Linked DNA regions of Stegostoma tigrinum. The protein of the gene in region 1 binds, or shares a complex with, the protein of each later gene. Links are inferred from orthologs where the notes say so. Each region holds a gene or a part of one and is shown on either strand. Other genes may lie near its edges.

The links. Proteins that work in one complex are often made in the same cells at the same time.
Region 2: the proteins of grm5b (region 1) and homer protein homolog 1-like are in contact, whole or in part, in a crystal structure (PDB 1DDV), measured with the Rattus norvegicus proteins. The link is inferred for Stegostoma tigrinum from reciprocal best matches to the Homo sapiens genes GRM5 and HOMER1. Residues at the interface, in XP_006229721.1 of Rattus norvegicus: Thr1155, Pro1156, Pro1157, Phe1160; in NP_113895.1 of Rattus norvegicus: His12, Phe14, Trp24, Thr70, Ser71, Gln72, Lys73, Phe74, Gly89, Phe90.

Annotation. Positions count from the first base shown.
Region 1 is NC_081359.1:51,153,269-51,161,270, forward strand, and holds the start of grm5b (metabotropic glutamate receptor 5b), read left to right. Parts: upstream 1-4,991; 5' UTR 4,992-5,063; intron 5,064-8,002. UniProt on the Homo sapiens protein: G-protein coupled receptor for glutamate. Ligand binding causes a conformation change that triggers signaling via guanine nucleotide-binding proteins (G proteins) and modulates the activity of down-stream effectors.
Region 2 is NC_081356.1:108,786,392-108,793,768, reverse strand, and holds the start of homer protein homolog 1-like, read left to right. Parts: upstream 1-4,366; 5' UTR 4,367-4,885; coding exon 4,886-4,890; intron 4,891-7,377. UniProt on the Homo sapiens protein: Postsynaptic density scaffolding protein. Binds and cross-links cytoplasmic regions of GRM1, GRM5, ITPR1, DNM3, RYR1, RYR2, SHANK1 and SHANK3.

The DNA.
Region 1 (8,002 bases):
GTGCCATGTCACAAGTCTGTCCTAGCAGGAATGACAAACATGAGATATTGATGTTATTCTGAATTATACACACTAGCCATCTTGACAACTGAATGAACCAATCCTTTATATCTTTCAATGATTGCCAGACAGCTTTTTCTTTATATAATGTAAAAGCCAATTAAACAATGTTTATATAAGTTAAATACACCACCTATCCATACTGAACATGTGTAATTGCAATAGTTAAAATGATTTGATTATATAAGTATCTTCTATCCTGATTAGAAATGCAACATCTGGAAAAAAAAATCAAATAGATATCAAGCTATGAAGTCACCCATCCAGCAAACAGCTTTAACATAGATTCAGACTGAATGGATTTAGGGGAAACTATGATTTGGGCAGCAGAGTATTAATGTGTGGTTGTCATGGGAATGTATATGAGGACTGCACTGCCTCCCTGCAGCTTGAGGTGTGCTTGAGATGACAGTTAGAATTTAAATTAATATCACAACCTTTTATATCCATGTTGGATAGAAAATAGTGCTGCTGAAATTACATGTAATGAGTAGCATCTATTAGATCTATGGTGATACTCATGCTGAGTTATAACTATTATTTGTTACACACCAACAGGAAACGTTGAGATGATAAAATAGCTTTCACAATATTATGAGATCTGAAACCTTCCTTTGTTTTTCATTTTAGTGGGAGAGTCTCCTATTAGTGATTCCAGTAGACAGTTGGCTACTGATTTGCCATCTTGCTAGAATTGCAATTCATTCTTTGTTGCTCAATCGATGACTTTTTATAGTTCTTGACAGATTTTTCACGGAATAAACGCGGCCTCATAATTTCATATTTAAAAAATGTCTGCAACATTTAAACATATCAAATGTGGCAGTAATGATAACTGTACTGGATGGATGCCTTTTAAAAAGGCAAACACCTTTTGCTTTTCTGCAGTGATTTTTCTTTGCTCACAGAATATGTGGATAGATTTGCAAAATCTTTACCATTTTATTCTTAAAAGTGTAATGTTATCTTGTGTTAAACAGGAATTGTGAATTTCCATCACAGCATTTTGAATTTACCAGAAATAGTCTACCTAGCACTTAAAACCGAACTGCATTAAATCACATTTTCCTAAAGAGCACTTAGCAGAGATGACTCTATTACATGAAAGAGCTACAATGTTTGGAACCTGGTTAAACATAATAAATCTACACGAATGACAACTAAGAGAATACAGAGGTTTCACAATGGAATGTTATATTCCATTAAAGCAAAAGAAATTGATATCAGGAGTATTATTGGGTCTAGTATTACTGACTGACAGCTTAAGGAAATTAAAATGCAGCAGGTTGAAGTTCAGTTATGGTAAGAAACCAGCTTATCCTGAAATTGATGTAGACTTAACACTGATTTATAGAGTTGTGAGAACACTGGCTAATACTGAGGAGATTTTGCACTCTCTCTTATAGAATTAACAATGAAAATTCTTAGATTTTGTGTGTACAGGTTATAATTTCACCGTCATGGCACATCAATTGTTTCACGATTGGAAACAGTGTCATCAATATGCCATGTGAATTATGTCATTGAAATTTTTCTCTGCTAAAATTCACTATGTTGGAATTAGTTATTTATTAAGTGTCAGTTAGAGTTGTTAAGTAAAAGGACACAAGCTACGAAACAATGAAATACCTGAAATAAATCAAACATGATTGATAAGCAATATTGGAATAAATTGTTAACCATTTTAGACATGGCTTATTTTCCTTTTATTTTGGTTTATAATGTTACCTATGCAATGCTTCCTAGTGTGTTAATTCTAAAACTGTAATATCTGTTCTTTTTAGATTAAATTTGATTCTTATGCTCTTTGCTGTAATTGCGAGTTTGCAACTGGATATTTGATACTACTCGTGCTCTACTCCGTTCTATGTCAGTATAATTTTGACTATAATAATTTCTCATTTGAAACTGGGAGAAAGTAAAATAGTTTGAAAGATAAGGCAAAGAATTCCAGTAAAGGTAACTGGAGAAGACTAGTTTGAAAAATTTGAAGCATTCAGGAGATGAACAAATAATGAAGCAAAAGTTTAAAGTATTGGCAAAAAGCTGTAGGTTGGGTTGTGGATAAGGTTGTTGACTTGCTTGCCGAGCTGGCTTGTTTTTGATCAGACCTTTCATCACCATGCTAGATGAAATCATCAGTGGAGTCTCCGATGAAGCAATGTTATTATACTCGCCTTGGAATTTATACTGTCCGGTCCGTTGTGGTGAGTACTGTCATTTCCAGTTTTGATCTGTATATATTTATATATGGGGTGCAACTCTATATGTTTGTTGATTGAAGTATGGGTTGAGAACCATGCCTCCAGGAATTCCCATGTGTGTCTACGTTTGACTTGGGCTACTATGTTTACTTTGTCCCAGTTAAACTGATGGCCTTCATTGAGTGTACAGATATTACGGAGAGTTCATCGTGCCATTTTTCTGCTAGCTGATGTTTGTATGTTCTGATGGCTAGTTTCCTTCCCGTCTTTCTGGTATAATGTTTGTGGCAGTCATTGCATTGTATTTTGTAAACTACATTTGTTCTGCACGTTGTGGGAATGGGGTCTTTAATCCTCGTAAGTGTTTGTCGTAGAGTGGCTGTGGGTTTGTGGGCCACCACGTTTCCTAATGGTCTGAGCAGTCTTGTTGTCAGTTCTGATATGTTCCTGATGTAGAGAAGTGTAGTAAATGTGTTAGGTTGTACTGTGTCTTCCTGTTGTTGTCTGTTATATAGGCACCTGTTGATGAAGTTATGGGGATATCCATTTGAGACGAGGATCTTGTATAAGTGTTTTTCTTCTTCCTGGCATAATTATGGAGTGTTGCAGTGTGTCCTAGCCAGTTTAAATAGCGTCCTAATGCAGCTTTGTCTGTGGATGTTGGGGTTGTTGCTGTGGAAGTTGGAGATTTGATCTGTAGGGGTTGCTTTTCTGTGTACTGAAGTTTGGAACTCCCCTGTTTGTCAGTCATTCCAGGAACGGCAGTTGATTGTTGGGCTCTTCTTCCCTTTTTTTTAGTTCATTCGTGGGATGAGGCCATTGCTGGCTAGGGCAGTTAAGAGTCAACCATATTGCTGTGGGTCTGGAATCACACGTAGACCAGACCAGATAAGAATGGCAGTTTCCTTCCCTAAAGGACATTAGTGAACCAGATGGGTTTTTCCGACAGGCGACAATGGATCATTAGATTCTTAATTCCAAATGTTTTATTGAATTCAGCTTCTACTATCTACCACAGCGGGATTTGAATCCAGGTCCCCAGAATGTTATCTGGGTCTCTGGATTAACAGTCCAGTGATAATACCACCAGGCCATTGCCTCCCTGGTAAATGTGAATTTAATCCCTGTGAATACACTGTTGGTGAGGTAGTGGGTCTCTTTTAATTTGTTGCCTTTAATAATGAAAAATGTGTCATCTCCGTTCCAGATCCACAGTTTAGGTTGAGTGTGGGGGAGGATGGTGCGTTCTAATCATTGCATGACTGCTTCTGCGATGAGCCCTGAGATTGGTGACCCCATTGGTGTACCGTTGATCTGTTTGTATATTTGACCATTAAAGACAAAGTGTGTAGTGAGGCAGAGGTCTAGTAATTTAAGTATGCTGTCCTTGCTGATGGTATTGCTAGTCTGAGTTGCTGTTTCCTCTAGTAATATGACCATTGTTTCTTTGGCTAGTGGGATATCTTTTGATGTGAATAAAGCTGTGATGTCAAAGGATACCATAATCTTGTCGTCGCTGATTTTTATGTTCTTTAGGGTGTTGAGGAAATCTTGGGTCGAGTAGATAGAATTGAGGTGATTTGTCTACTAGGTGTTTCAATCTCTGTCGTAGATCCTTGCCAGTTTGTGTGAAGGTGTGACTGGTAGGGATACAATGGGTCGAGAGGGATGTATGGTTTATGTACTTTAGGCAGTCCATAGAAGTGGGGTGGAGGTGAATGGTGTTTGTGCTTTTGGTTTCATTCTCTTGAAGTCTATCTTGGTTATCTGCCCCGCATTTATTAGTCACTTCAGTGTCTCGGTGATCCTATTCCCTCGCTGCAGTGTTGGGTCTATCACCATCTATTGGTAAGTGGTTGTATCTGCAAGCAATGTCTATGCTTACTTAACGTAGTCTAGTTTGTTCATAATGATGGTCATGCACCCTTTGTCTGCTGGTAGGATTATGATGTTCTTGTCTTTCCTGAGTTTGTCTAGAGCTTTTCTCTCTGCTGTGTTCAGGTTGCCCCCTTTGTTCCTTCTGTGTAGTGTGGGGATTATAGTTTGTTGGATGGCTTGTTGTGTTTCATCCGTGAGTTTGTTGTCTTTTAATGCATTCTCCAGAGCGGCCATGAAGTCTGTTCTGTTCACATCTTTGTGGCTATAGTTCAGTCCACATTATAGGACATCTTTCTCAGTTTCTGTGGGTTGCTTATTAGATAGGTTTCTCATCCATGTGTCTGCCTTCTTGTTGTCCTTGTCTTTGTGGTGTATCAGTTTGGTGAATTTCTCCTGCAGTTCATGTCTCTTCTTAGTTTTGGTTTTGTGTCGATTGGTAATGGCCTGCTGGTCTGTTGAGTTTCGATACTGTGATTTTTGGCATGCAGTTTCTTGTTTGTACCTGTGGAGCCAGTTATGGGCATCATTAATCATTCCTCATAGCATTCTGCACCCATTCTGTTTAGCTATTTTGTGTGCCTCTGGGATGTTGAGTGAAGGTTTGTACTTCACACTGCCATGCAGTACCTGGTTCCTGAGGCATTCATGGAGGTAGTGAAGTTGTTCGCAGGTAGCGCTCAGTCAGTTGGCAAAGGTTTCCCATTGTCTGGCAATTTTTGGCATGTTATGCCCGTAGTTATTTAAAATATTGGCAAAAAATCTGTAGTTCGGGTTGTGGATGAGGTTGTTGACTTGCTCATTGAGCTGTCTTGTTTTTGTTCAGATGCTTTGTCACCATGCTAAGTGACATCATCAATGGAGCCTCCGATGAAGCGATGTTATTCTACTCCACTTGAAATTTATACTGTCACATCCATTATGGTGAGTACTATTATTTCCAGTTTTGATCTGTATGGATTTATATATGGGGTCCAATTCTATATGTTTGTTTTTTTGAAGTACGGTTCTCCACCCACTCAAAAAACATGAAGATATTAAGGGATTGACATTTTAAAAAAAGATATTCGTTTGTTTTAATTTATGTCTTTTTTATATTAGCCTGTTTTTCTGATCAACCTGATCAGAGATAAAGTTGCACATCTTTTGAGCGATGGGACTTGAACCCAGGCCTTGATCACTGCCCACAGGAGGGCCCCCAAATGATTGCAACAGGACTCAAGATAATAAAATGTGAGGCTGGATGAACACAGCAGGCCAAGCAGCATCTCAGGAGCACAAAAGCTGACGTTTCAGGCCTAGACCCTTCATCAGAGAGGGGGATGGGGTGAGGGTTCTGGAATAAATAGGGAGAGAGGGGGAGGCGGACCGAAAATGGAGAGAAAAGAAGATAGGTGGAGAGAGTATAGGTGGGGAGGTAGGGAGGGGATAGGTCAGTCCAGGGAAGACGGACAGGTCAAGGAGGTGGGATGAAGTTAGTAGGTAGATGGGGGTGCGGCTTGGGGTGGGAGGAAGGGATGGGTGAGAGGAAGTACAGGTTAGGAAGGCAGAGACAGGTTGGACTCAAACCTGCAACCTTTAATGCTGAAGTCAGACATCTTATACATTAGACCATATGATCATGTCTTCACCCCTGTTTTATGATCTAGGTTAAGAAATTAACTCCGTGTGGATACTGTGCATAACTTTGCATCATATTCTGTTGAAACGACTACATTGTCTACTTCTATCATTAATTACTAAATGCACTCCTCGTTGAAATAGAGCAACAGAAGTATGGGTGTAGTGTTGACAATTGCTTGTGGCACAGTGGCTCAGTGGTTAGCACTGATGCCTCACAGTGTCAGGGACCTGGGTTCGATTCCACCCTTGGGTAACTGTCTGTGTGGATTTTGCACATTGTCCCTGTGTCTGCATGGGTTTCCTCTGGGTTCTGTGGCTTCCTCCCACAGTCCAAAGATGTGCAGGCTAGGGTTGGGCATGCTAAATTGCCCGTAGTGTTCAGGGATGTGTAGATTATAGGGGGATGGATCTGGGGCGGGTTGCTCTGATGGTCAGTGTGGACTTGTTGGGCTGACAGGCCTGTCCCCACACTGTAGAGTTCTATGACGTTATGTAGTGTCTTAAGGGAGGGAACAGGAGTAAATAAGGAGAAGAAGTTTGGAAACCAAAAGCTTTATGCATATGCTCAAGTTAATGTTCTGCTGGGGGAATGAAATCTTCTGGAAGTCAAGGGTTGAAGGTTTCACCATAATATGAGGAAAATTTGTTACAGCAGGAGCGTGACATCCATTGCTAGTAAAAGTATATGCATGGTATGAATAAAAATATTTATAATTCCAAATGAAATGATATAATACTCACTTGACAGGCCTAATTATTTTCAATTGATGCCTCTTCACTTTTTTGATCTAATAGTATTACTTTATGTAATTCCTCCCACCATCGCTTTTAATCTATGTTTTAAATGCATTCCCACCTCCACCCATTAAAATCAATTAGAGAACCTGTACTTATTGTTTTTATCATATCAGCACACTGACAATTTTGTGGTTAAATTCTGGAGTGGGTTCTTTGCGTGCCCTGTGTTGCTACCAATGACCTTCATCAAGAACTGGAGACTTCTCGGTCATATATTAAAATGAGAATGGATGGCTGTTTGAATGACTCCACCCATGACTTTTTCTCCAAGTATAGCAAGAGTAGTTTAGAACTAACTAAGAGAGCTGGAGCCTGTTCCAATTATTGGTGAAGTGCTATAGTTTGGAAACTACAACTGAAACAAATTTCAAGAGAGATTGCAGTAATCCAATAACAAAAATATTTAAACTTTGCTTTAAACTTTAATTGCGCTGATTGATTTTGATGAAAGGTCACAGATGTGAAAACTTGGGCTGATTTTCACAGCCCCATTGAGATGAGGGATAGTGGCAGGGGGCCAAGAAAATTGGAGGAGCTGTGTAGGGATGGCTCCTCAATATGCGATTCCCTGTCATCAAGGAAATTTCTTGGGTGGGCTGAGTGTCAGACTGACATTATGATTGACAAGGACCGTCAGACTATAGAACAATTAAATTCCTAATTGGCAGACATTTTTATGACCTACTTTCCTGCCAGGGACTAACTCCTTACATCCCCCTCATCACCGCACACTGAGTTCAGCAGAAGCAGACTCCCAGCAGTAGACAAAGTGATTGTCAAATCCAATAGTGATCAATCTTTCCTCATGTAATAAAGTGTAAAACTGGATGAACACAGCAGGCCAAGCAGCATCTCAGGAGCACAAAAGCTGACGTTTCGCGCCTAGACCCTTCATCAGAGAGGGGGATAGGGAGAGGGTTCTGGAATAAATAGGAAGAGAGGGGGAGGCGGACCAAAGATAGAGAGAAAAGAATATAGGTGGAGAGGAGAGTATAGGTGGGGAGGGGATAGGTCAGTCCAGGGAAGACGGACAGGTCAAAGAGGTGGGATGAGGTTAGTAGGTAGGAAATGGAGGTGCAGTTTGAGGTGGGAGGAAGGGATAGGTGAGAGGAAGAACAGGTTAGGGAGGCAGAGACAGGATGGACTGGTTTTGGGATGCAGTGGGGGAAGGGGATGAGCTGGGCTGGTTGTGTGATGCAGTGGGGGAAGGGGACAAACTGGGCTGGTTTTGGGATGCGGTGGGGGAAGGAGAGATTTTGAGGCTGGTGAAGTCCACATTGATACCATTGGGCTGCAGGGTTCCCAAGCGGAATATGAGTTGCTGTTCCTGCAACCTTCAGGTGGCATCCTTGTGGCACTGCAGGAGGCCCATGACGGACATGTTGTCGAAAGAATGGGATGGGGAGTTAAGGAGATAATGGGAACTGCAGATGCTGGAGATT
Region 2 (7,377 bases), on another chromosome or scaffold:
GGCTTGATTGTTCCTTCTCTTTGTTTTCTGTCTGCCAACTAATTCTCTATCCGTGTCAGTGCACTATTTCTAGTCCTTTAATTTTACATAATAATCTCTTACATGGGTCCTTATCAAAAACCTTCTAAAAATCCAAGTTAACTACATAGGCTGGCTCTCCTTGTCACACGACTGTTTATATCCTCCAAAAATTCCATTAGGTTTGTCAAGCAGATTTCTGTTTTAAAAAATCTATGCTGTTTTCTAAGTGTTCTGTTATTGGATCTTTTATAATGGATTCTGATATTTTTCATACTTCCAATATCAGGCTAACCATTCTAAAATTCCGTTTTCTATCTACCTCCTTTTTAAATAGTGGGATTACCCTCCAAACTATAGAACTGTTTCAGAGTTGATAGATTCTTGAAAGATGACATCCATTGTTTCGAGGGTCATTTCTTTTAGGACTCTGGGAAGTAGACTGTCGGGTCCTGGGAATTTGTTGGCCTTCAATCCCATCAATTTCCTCACCCTCCACTTCCCTACTAATACTGATTTCCTTCCATTCATCTCTCTCACTAACCCCATACACCCAGTATTTTCGGGATGTTATTTGTGTCTTCTTTTGTGAAGAATGCTAAGACTAAGTCAGGGTTAAATGCAATTGATTTACAGATCTAATACAATTCAATTAATAGTTGAACATTTTCCCAGATGCTGAATGACTGTGATAATTACTTGATTTTTATTTATTTCATCATTGGGCAAGGTTTGTCAAACTCTTCCATAGAAACCGATCACAGGTGGAATTAGCCTTCAAATTTATTACATTTCAAAATAATGGGCTGAATTTTACAGCTCAGGAGATGTGATAGCAGGGGAGGTAAGCATTATATTGAATGACATGCTATTGGCACTGTGCCCATCATTTACCCACTCCCACCTTGGAGTGAGAAAGGCATCAGCAGTATGCCAATTGAGTTCCCAAGTGCCCATCCCCCCCCTCCAAAAAATCCCCCGAATCTTTTTCCTCACGATCCGCTGCTGTTCTGTCCACCATGATCCCTCAAACCATCATGAGGATCTGATAACCTGGCCCCAGTGACACCCTGGATTCACTTTTTCAGGACTGAAACTATAGCAGACCTATGAGCCCAGTCTGGAATCCAGAAATGTCGGCTTTCAATTATACAACACAGGCCAGAACTACAATAACTAATAAGACACTCTGAAGGAAAATGAAAACCTCTAACTTTCTGACCTTTAGAAAAAGAAAATCTGATGTAAGTAATTTGCAATACAAGAACCTTGTGTGCTTTGGGTTGAAAATGTTAATGAAAGTAACACATTTAAAGTGGAGACATATACGTTTGTCACTAAAGCTGACAAACCTGGCAGAAAAATGAGACGTATACTTTTCAACAGATCTTAGAAATTCCATACTAAAAATACATTGCATCTCCACACCTTCTGGAAGGAAGACTTTGAAAGTTACAAATTTCTTGCAGAATCAAGACAAATTTTCAAGCTGTTATCAAGTATCAATCATATTCCGGAGTAGCTGACTGGTATTCATTTTAGTTGAAGTCAATGGTAACCAAAACCAGAAAACTATCCTGAGGAAGGGTTACCGGACCCAAAACGTTAACTCTGATTTTTCCTCCACAGATGCTGCCAGACCAGCTGAGCTTTTTCAGCAACATTGTTTTTCTTCCAGAAAATTGTTAGAACTGATGTCTGACCTCAAAATATAATTGCAATTTGAAAATCCTACTTCATGATATTTAGGGAATCTAATTCCTTAATTTACAGTGATTTAAATTGGTTTTCAGGAAGTTTCTGTCATAGGTAGAATTATAATGAAAGCTTATTACATTCCAAAATGAAGTACTAAAGTTTTCAGCTGTAGGATGAGAGGTGAGGTCTAAAATTGAGCAAGACTGTTGTCCAATTGCCTCCTATTCTACTGGGTGAGGGATGCATTGGCCAGTCTGCTGCACTGGGTCATTTGAGGCCCTTAAATGATCTCCCAAAGTGTTCCCTTTGTGTTTGTCTTCTCCATTCCCTGCTGCCTCTCTACCATGATCCCTCATTGGGGCTTGGTAACCTGGACTCAGCAGGATTCCAGATTTACCTTGTGCTAGACTCTTGGCTTCTCAATTCAGGGCATTCTCTGGAGTCCTTCCAAGGCCATTTCCAAGTGGCACATCTGACCCCAAGATCATGAGAAATAGGTGCAGGGGTAGGTCATCCAGCTCATTGAACTAATTCCAGAAGGCAATGAGATATTGGCTGATCCAACTAACTCCACTTTTTTGTCTGACTCCCTTAACAAATGACCCCCATGTAGGTCAATAATCTATCCAGCTCATCCTGGAATATATTCAAAGATATGGCCCCCACTGTTTTTGTGATTTTGTGGGAGGGGTTCGTGATCACAGTTATCTAACACAGGCAGTGGATTTGTAATGATTTTCTGATAATTTGTTGAGAAGCAGCAGTTTAGGTATGGTACATTAGTTGATTAGGCTTTTCTGTAAAATGGTGGAGCAGAAGCAGCACACTTCCATGTTCCAGATATCTTGCAGTCTTTTGTGATAGTCCTTCATGGTCTCTGGTAGCAACATCCTTTTGTCTTCCCTTGGGCTGATGTAGAGGAACATCTTCCCAGAAGGAGATGGTGGTTCATCCCCTTGATTCCTCTCATACTCCTCTTTTCCCATTTAGCTCATTATTTTGGCAGATGGCCACCTATGCTTTATCAACCAATTGTCTGAACTTTTTTGTCCAATGACCATTGGCAGCTACTCATGATGCCAGGATGACCAATTCCCCTTTCCTGCCTCCATTTTAAGTTTAGTTTTAATTCCTTCTAAGAACAAAAACTCCTTTTTTTGAAACATTGCATTAATAATAGGGTAATGTGGCATATGATCATTTTTTGACTTGAGTCATGAACTCAGCATTGGATTTAATCTGTTCTCTGTATTCATATACTGGAGGTCAGTTTATATTTGTAGAATGCTGGTTACTGCCGTAATACTCAGGCTACATAGGAAGTAATAAATATGAAAGACTCAAAAGAATTTTAGTTTTTAAGGGGGCTCCAAATTTCAACAGCTCTCAATGGAAGACACTTTCAAAGACTAATAACCCTTTGAGTGACTATGTCCCTTCTCATCACTAATTTAAATATGAGGTCTGAAGCTAATGAGGTCTGGTGAACCCAAACTGAGCATCGGTGAGTACATCATTGATGACCAAGTGCTGTTTAAAAGCAATGTTCTGGCACCGGGCATCTTCCAAAGACTTTACTGATAAGCTGCCTAAAGGGTGATGCCTTGTCGGTTTACCTTTTCAACTGGCTGCACGCCAAGTTTTTTTAAATAATATTCTGTATTCAGTTATTTGGAAGTCACAAATTGTCGGGCATGTTCTCACCTGGAAAAGGTGGTATTAATAAATCAGATGTCAATCAGAGAAGAATGAGCTAGGTGGTGTGATTAAATGGATAGGTATAATGTTTATTCATGACAAAAAACAGAAATTGCTGGAAAAACTCAGAAGGTCTGGCGGCATTTGTGAAGAGACATCAGAATTAACGTTTCGGGTCCGGTGACACTTCCTCGGAACCGGACCTGAAACGTTAACTCTGATTTTTTTTCTTAGACGCTGCCAGACCCGCCGACCTTTTCCAGCAGCATCTGTTTTTGTTCCTGATTTACAGCATCCGCAGTTCTTTCGGGTTTTATACTGTTTATTTGCCTGGTCTATATATATATGGAGAAAAGAGCGAAGAGAAGACGCTCAGAATGAAAGAACATTAAACCACAATATATGACCAGAGCTTTTTTTATTAGTTTAGTAACTTTTACGACAATTGCAGACGAACAGGGCTTTAAGATTTTAACTTGTGTAACTGGAGAGACGATACGTTCCGACTGTTTTAGGGAATTAAAGATGTTCATGCCATGTGGGGAAAAAGCATAATCCAACCATCACCTCGCATTCCAGGTTCATAAATTGCAAAAAGTTCGTGAACAGATGCGAGATAAAACACCACTTTGGCTTGCATTTGAAGCTCCGTTATCCTTGGCAACATCCTAAACTTCCTGTTGTGCGGTCTGAACCACTGAGGATGCAGATGGTGGGTGGCTCTCCAACCAAACTAGGGCATGTGAAATGACAGGATGCTGTGTGTATAATTAGCAGAAAGTGTGGGGAGCTGGGCTGACGTCATCGGGTAATTGCTGTGCTCTGACGTCAGGGCCGAGTCGGAACGAGGCGGGCGAGTCAGAGTGGGTGACTGCGCTACGCCGTGACGCGCTGACGTTCATTTAAAGGTCGGGCGCACGCGAAGGAGGGTGGGTGGGGACGGAGCGTGGGGTGTGCGGGGGTTTGGCTATGGCCGGGCAGAAGTGGTGGAGTCTGCGGGAGTGAGTGGAGGAGCGCTGCCGCTGACAAAGGGAATGGAAGGTGGCGGTTGGAGCGCCGCGTAATTGGAATCTTGACCCGGCAGCTGCAGCCGGCTCGCGCCGCCTCGATTTTGCAGCCATTTGGGGCCGCGGCTGGCGACTCTCTTCACCACCCCCCCCCCCCACCGTCTCCCCCTGCTTCACCTCCAAGGCATCTGGACCGAAAAGGCGGGTAGAGGTGGGGAGGAAGAGTCCCTTGGAGCACTCTCAGGGTTTACCCTCGAGTTTCCGCTGTCGCTGCACTCATCTCCCCGCCTCTGTGCCCCTGTGTGCTCGGGGGTGAAATGATCTGCTCCAGCGTCTCTCTGAGCCGGGCTGAGAGAGCCTGAGTCTCGGTACCATCTCCCATCATTAACGCCGTAAAAAGCGAGAAGCGTCCCCCCGCAGGCGGAGAATCGGCTTGTCTTCAGCAGGAGGAGAGAGGGGTAAAAATGGGGTGAGACATTCCGTTTCTTACTGCTGTTTGGTATATTTAAAGGGGGGGGGGCGGAATAAAATGGACACTTTTGCCCCCGTGGTGGGTTGAGTCAGACTGGGATCTCGCCGCTGCAGCTGCTTTCAAGTTAATGTCAGGTCGCTGACGCTGGTGCTTTGGGCGCTTGACATTAGTGAGTGTTTACGGACGAGGATCAGTTACAGCACCCTCTCGAACTGATAGTTACGTCCCCATGGTTTATGTTAGTACAGTTCTAGCCATGTGTGCTCTCGGAGCCTTGTTAAAAAGTCGGGAGCTACCGAGGTGTGTTTTACTCGCGTCCATCCTGCGAAGTCTCAATGCACATTTTGGAGTGTAACGTTGCTGTAACTTGAAGTTTGAACATGGGCTTGGGTTTGACTTGAGAAACTAGAAAAGCACCATACCACTAATTTGATAGCGCTTTAGTGTCTCGAATTGGGACTATCCAGCAATCTCTGCTTGATGTGGTGGCACGGAGCTCTTTAAAACTTGTGTTCGAAATGTTCGCCGCTCTGGATCAAGACTAGTTTCAGCATAATAGGAGTGCTCAGTTAATGTGAAATAACGGTTATATAATTAATGTATGGTAAGGGATTCAAGTTAGATCATTGTTTAAACAAAACCGAAATATCAAAATATTTTGGGTAAGTAAATTCTCTAAATCCTCTTAATTTGAGGATTTTCTGGAACTCTTAGTCCTCTAAAAGATAAAAATCAATCAGACTTATCTTCATTATGCAGCAACTTTTTTTAGCAGAATTATGGATGGGAACTATTCGCTCTTTACTTTGATGTACTTTCCTTCTTTCATAAGGAAACATCCCGCTTGAACTTTTGACTTCCAATTTTTTGTCATGGCAGAAATGCTGTTTGGATTTAGTGTAACTCACTAAATTAGTAAATCTTAAAAGAAGTCACCAAGCATCTGTTTACTACCTTCAGATTAGTTGAATGGTTTCTTGTTTTTAAAAAGTAAAGCTTGCTTGCCTGGTTAAAACTCTAATTCTATCTACATCCATTGTATGTTGGTAGCTCTGGAATGGGTTTTATGGCTAAATTCTAAAACGTGAAAGCTACAATAGAGGAAACCTTCAAGACAAGCTGCATGAATTGTGAAATCAACTGTCAATTTGTATTGTGGATGAAGTATTCATGTGGTCTTTCAGTGGTGTCACTTGTCCAGTTAATACTGCTATTTATCCTAACGAAACACGCTGGTTTTGTAACACAAGTTATTTACGTTAACAATACATGGTGACAAGTGTTAAATTGTTTTTGCTTAACCCCTATGCCAGTGATTAGTGTACTTACTGTAGTAAATGTGAATTAAATTGTGATTTATGAAATATTGTCTTTTGCTGTTAAGTGACCTGTCCAAACTATTTGTCCTATCTTTTTATACTAACTTGTTTTAAAAGTTCTGATGACTTTTTTTATTTTCAAGAGAATTGTTGCTCCACATTAACCCTTATCAGGAAACTGAGTTCCTCATCAAAATGATCAATTGTTCAAAATTGGTTTGAAGTTTATGCAGAACTTTTTGTACATCAATTTATTTTTCTTTATTTTATAGGAATGGAAACCTTTCTCATGTTTTCAGTGGAGCTGCAGTAATATAACTTATACAGTGAAGGAATGCATTTTGTAGTATAAATTGTCTACTTTTATCTCTACTTTGATTTTGAATTCCTCTTACGCATGTTATGCTAAGACTTGTCCCTACAGACTAGATGGGTTTTCTCTTCCCAAATCTTAACCAGCACATTTTGTGCACTTACGAACTTATTGTACATAATGGCTTTACTCTAGAGATGCAACAAGGTGATAGAAGAAAAGAGGCAGTCATTCCATGTTTATAGTCACTTCAGTTTAATAGTCACTTCTTTGCGATAAGTGCTGTTCTACTGTTTTCAAGCAGGGAAACTAGTTAGTTGCTCTTCTCTCCATTGTCTACAGTGCACTCCACAGCTGTATCAGATCTACTGATCATACAAGTTGATGTGCATTCTGTTTGTGATCTGTTGTCCTCTTGGACACTGGTATCTATCAAGGTGTCACTTTGTCAAAATTCATCTCATCTGCTGAGGAAATTCATTGAACAGCTGGACTGTCCTTGAAGTATGTGGAAAAAATTGCAAATGAGACTGAAATGTAAACAAATTTTGGAAATATATGGCAGGTCTTTCAGCTTACTAGGAAGTTAGATGCATCAGATCTTTACTACATGAGGTAAGATATGTATTTTGATTAGATTGCCTACAGTGTGGAAACAGGCCCTTTGGCCCAACAAGTCCACACCGCCGCTTGAAGCATCCCACCCCAACCTGTCCCCTATAACCCCCACACCCCTGAAGACTATGGGCAATTTAGCATGGCCAATCCACCTAGCACGTCTTTGGGCTGTGGGAGGAAACCCACGCAGACACGGAGAATGTGCAAACTCCACACACGGTCGCCCGAGGCTGG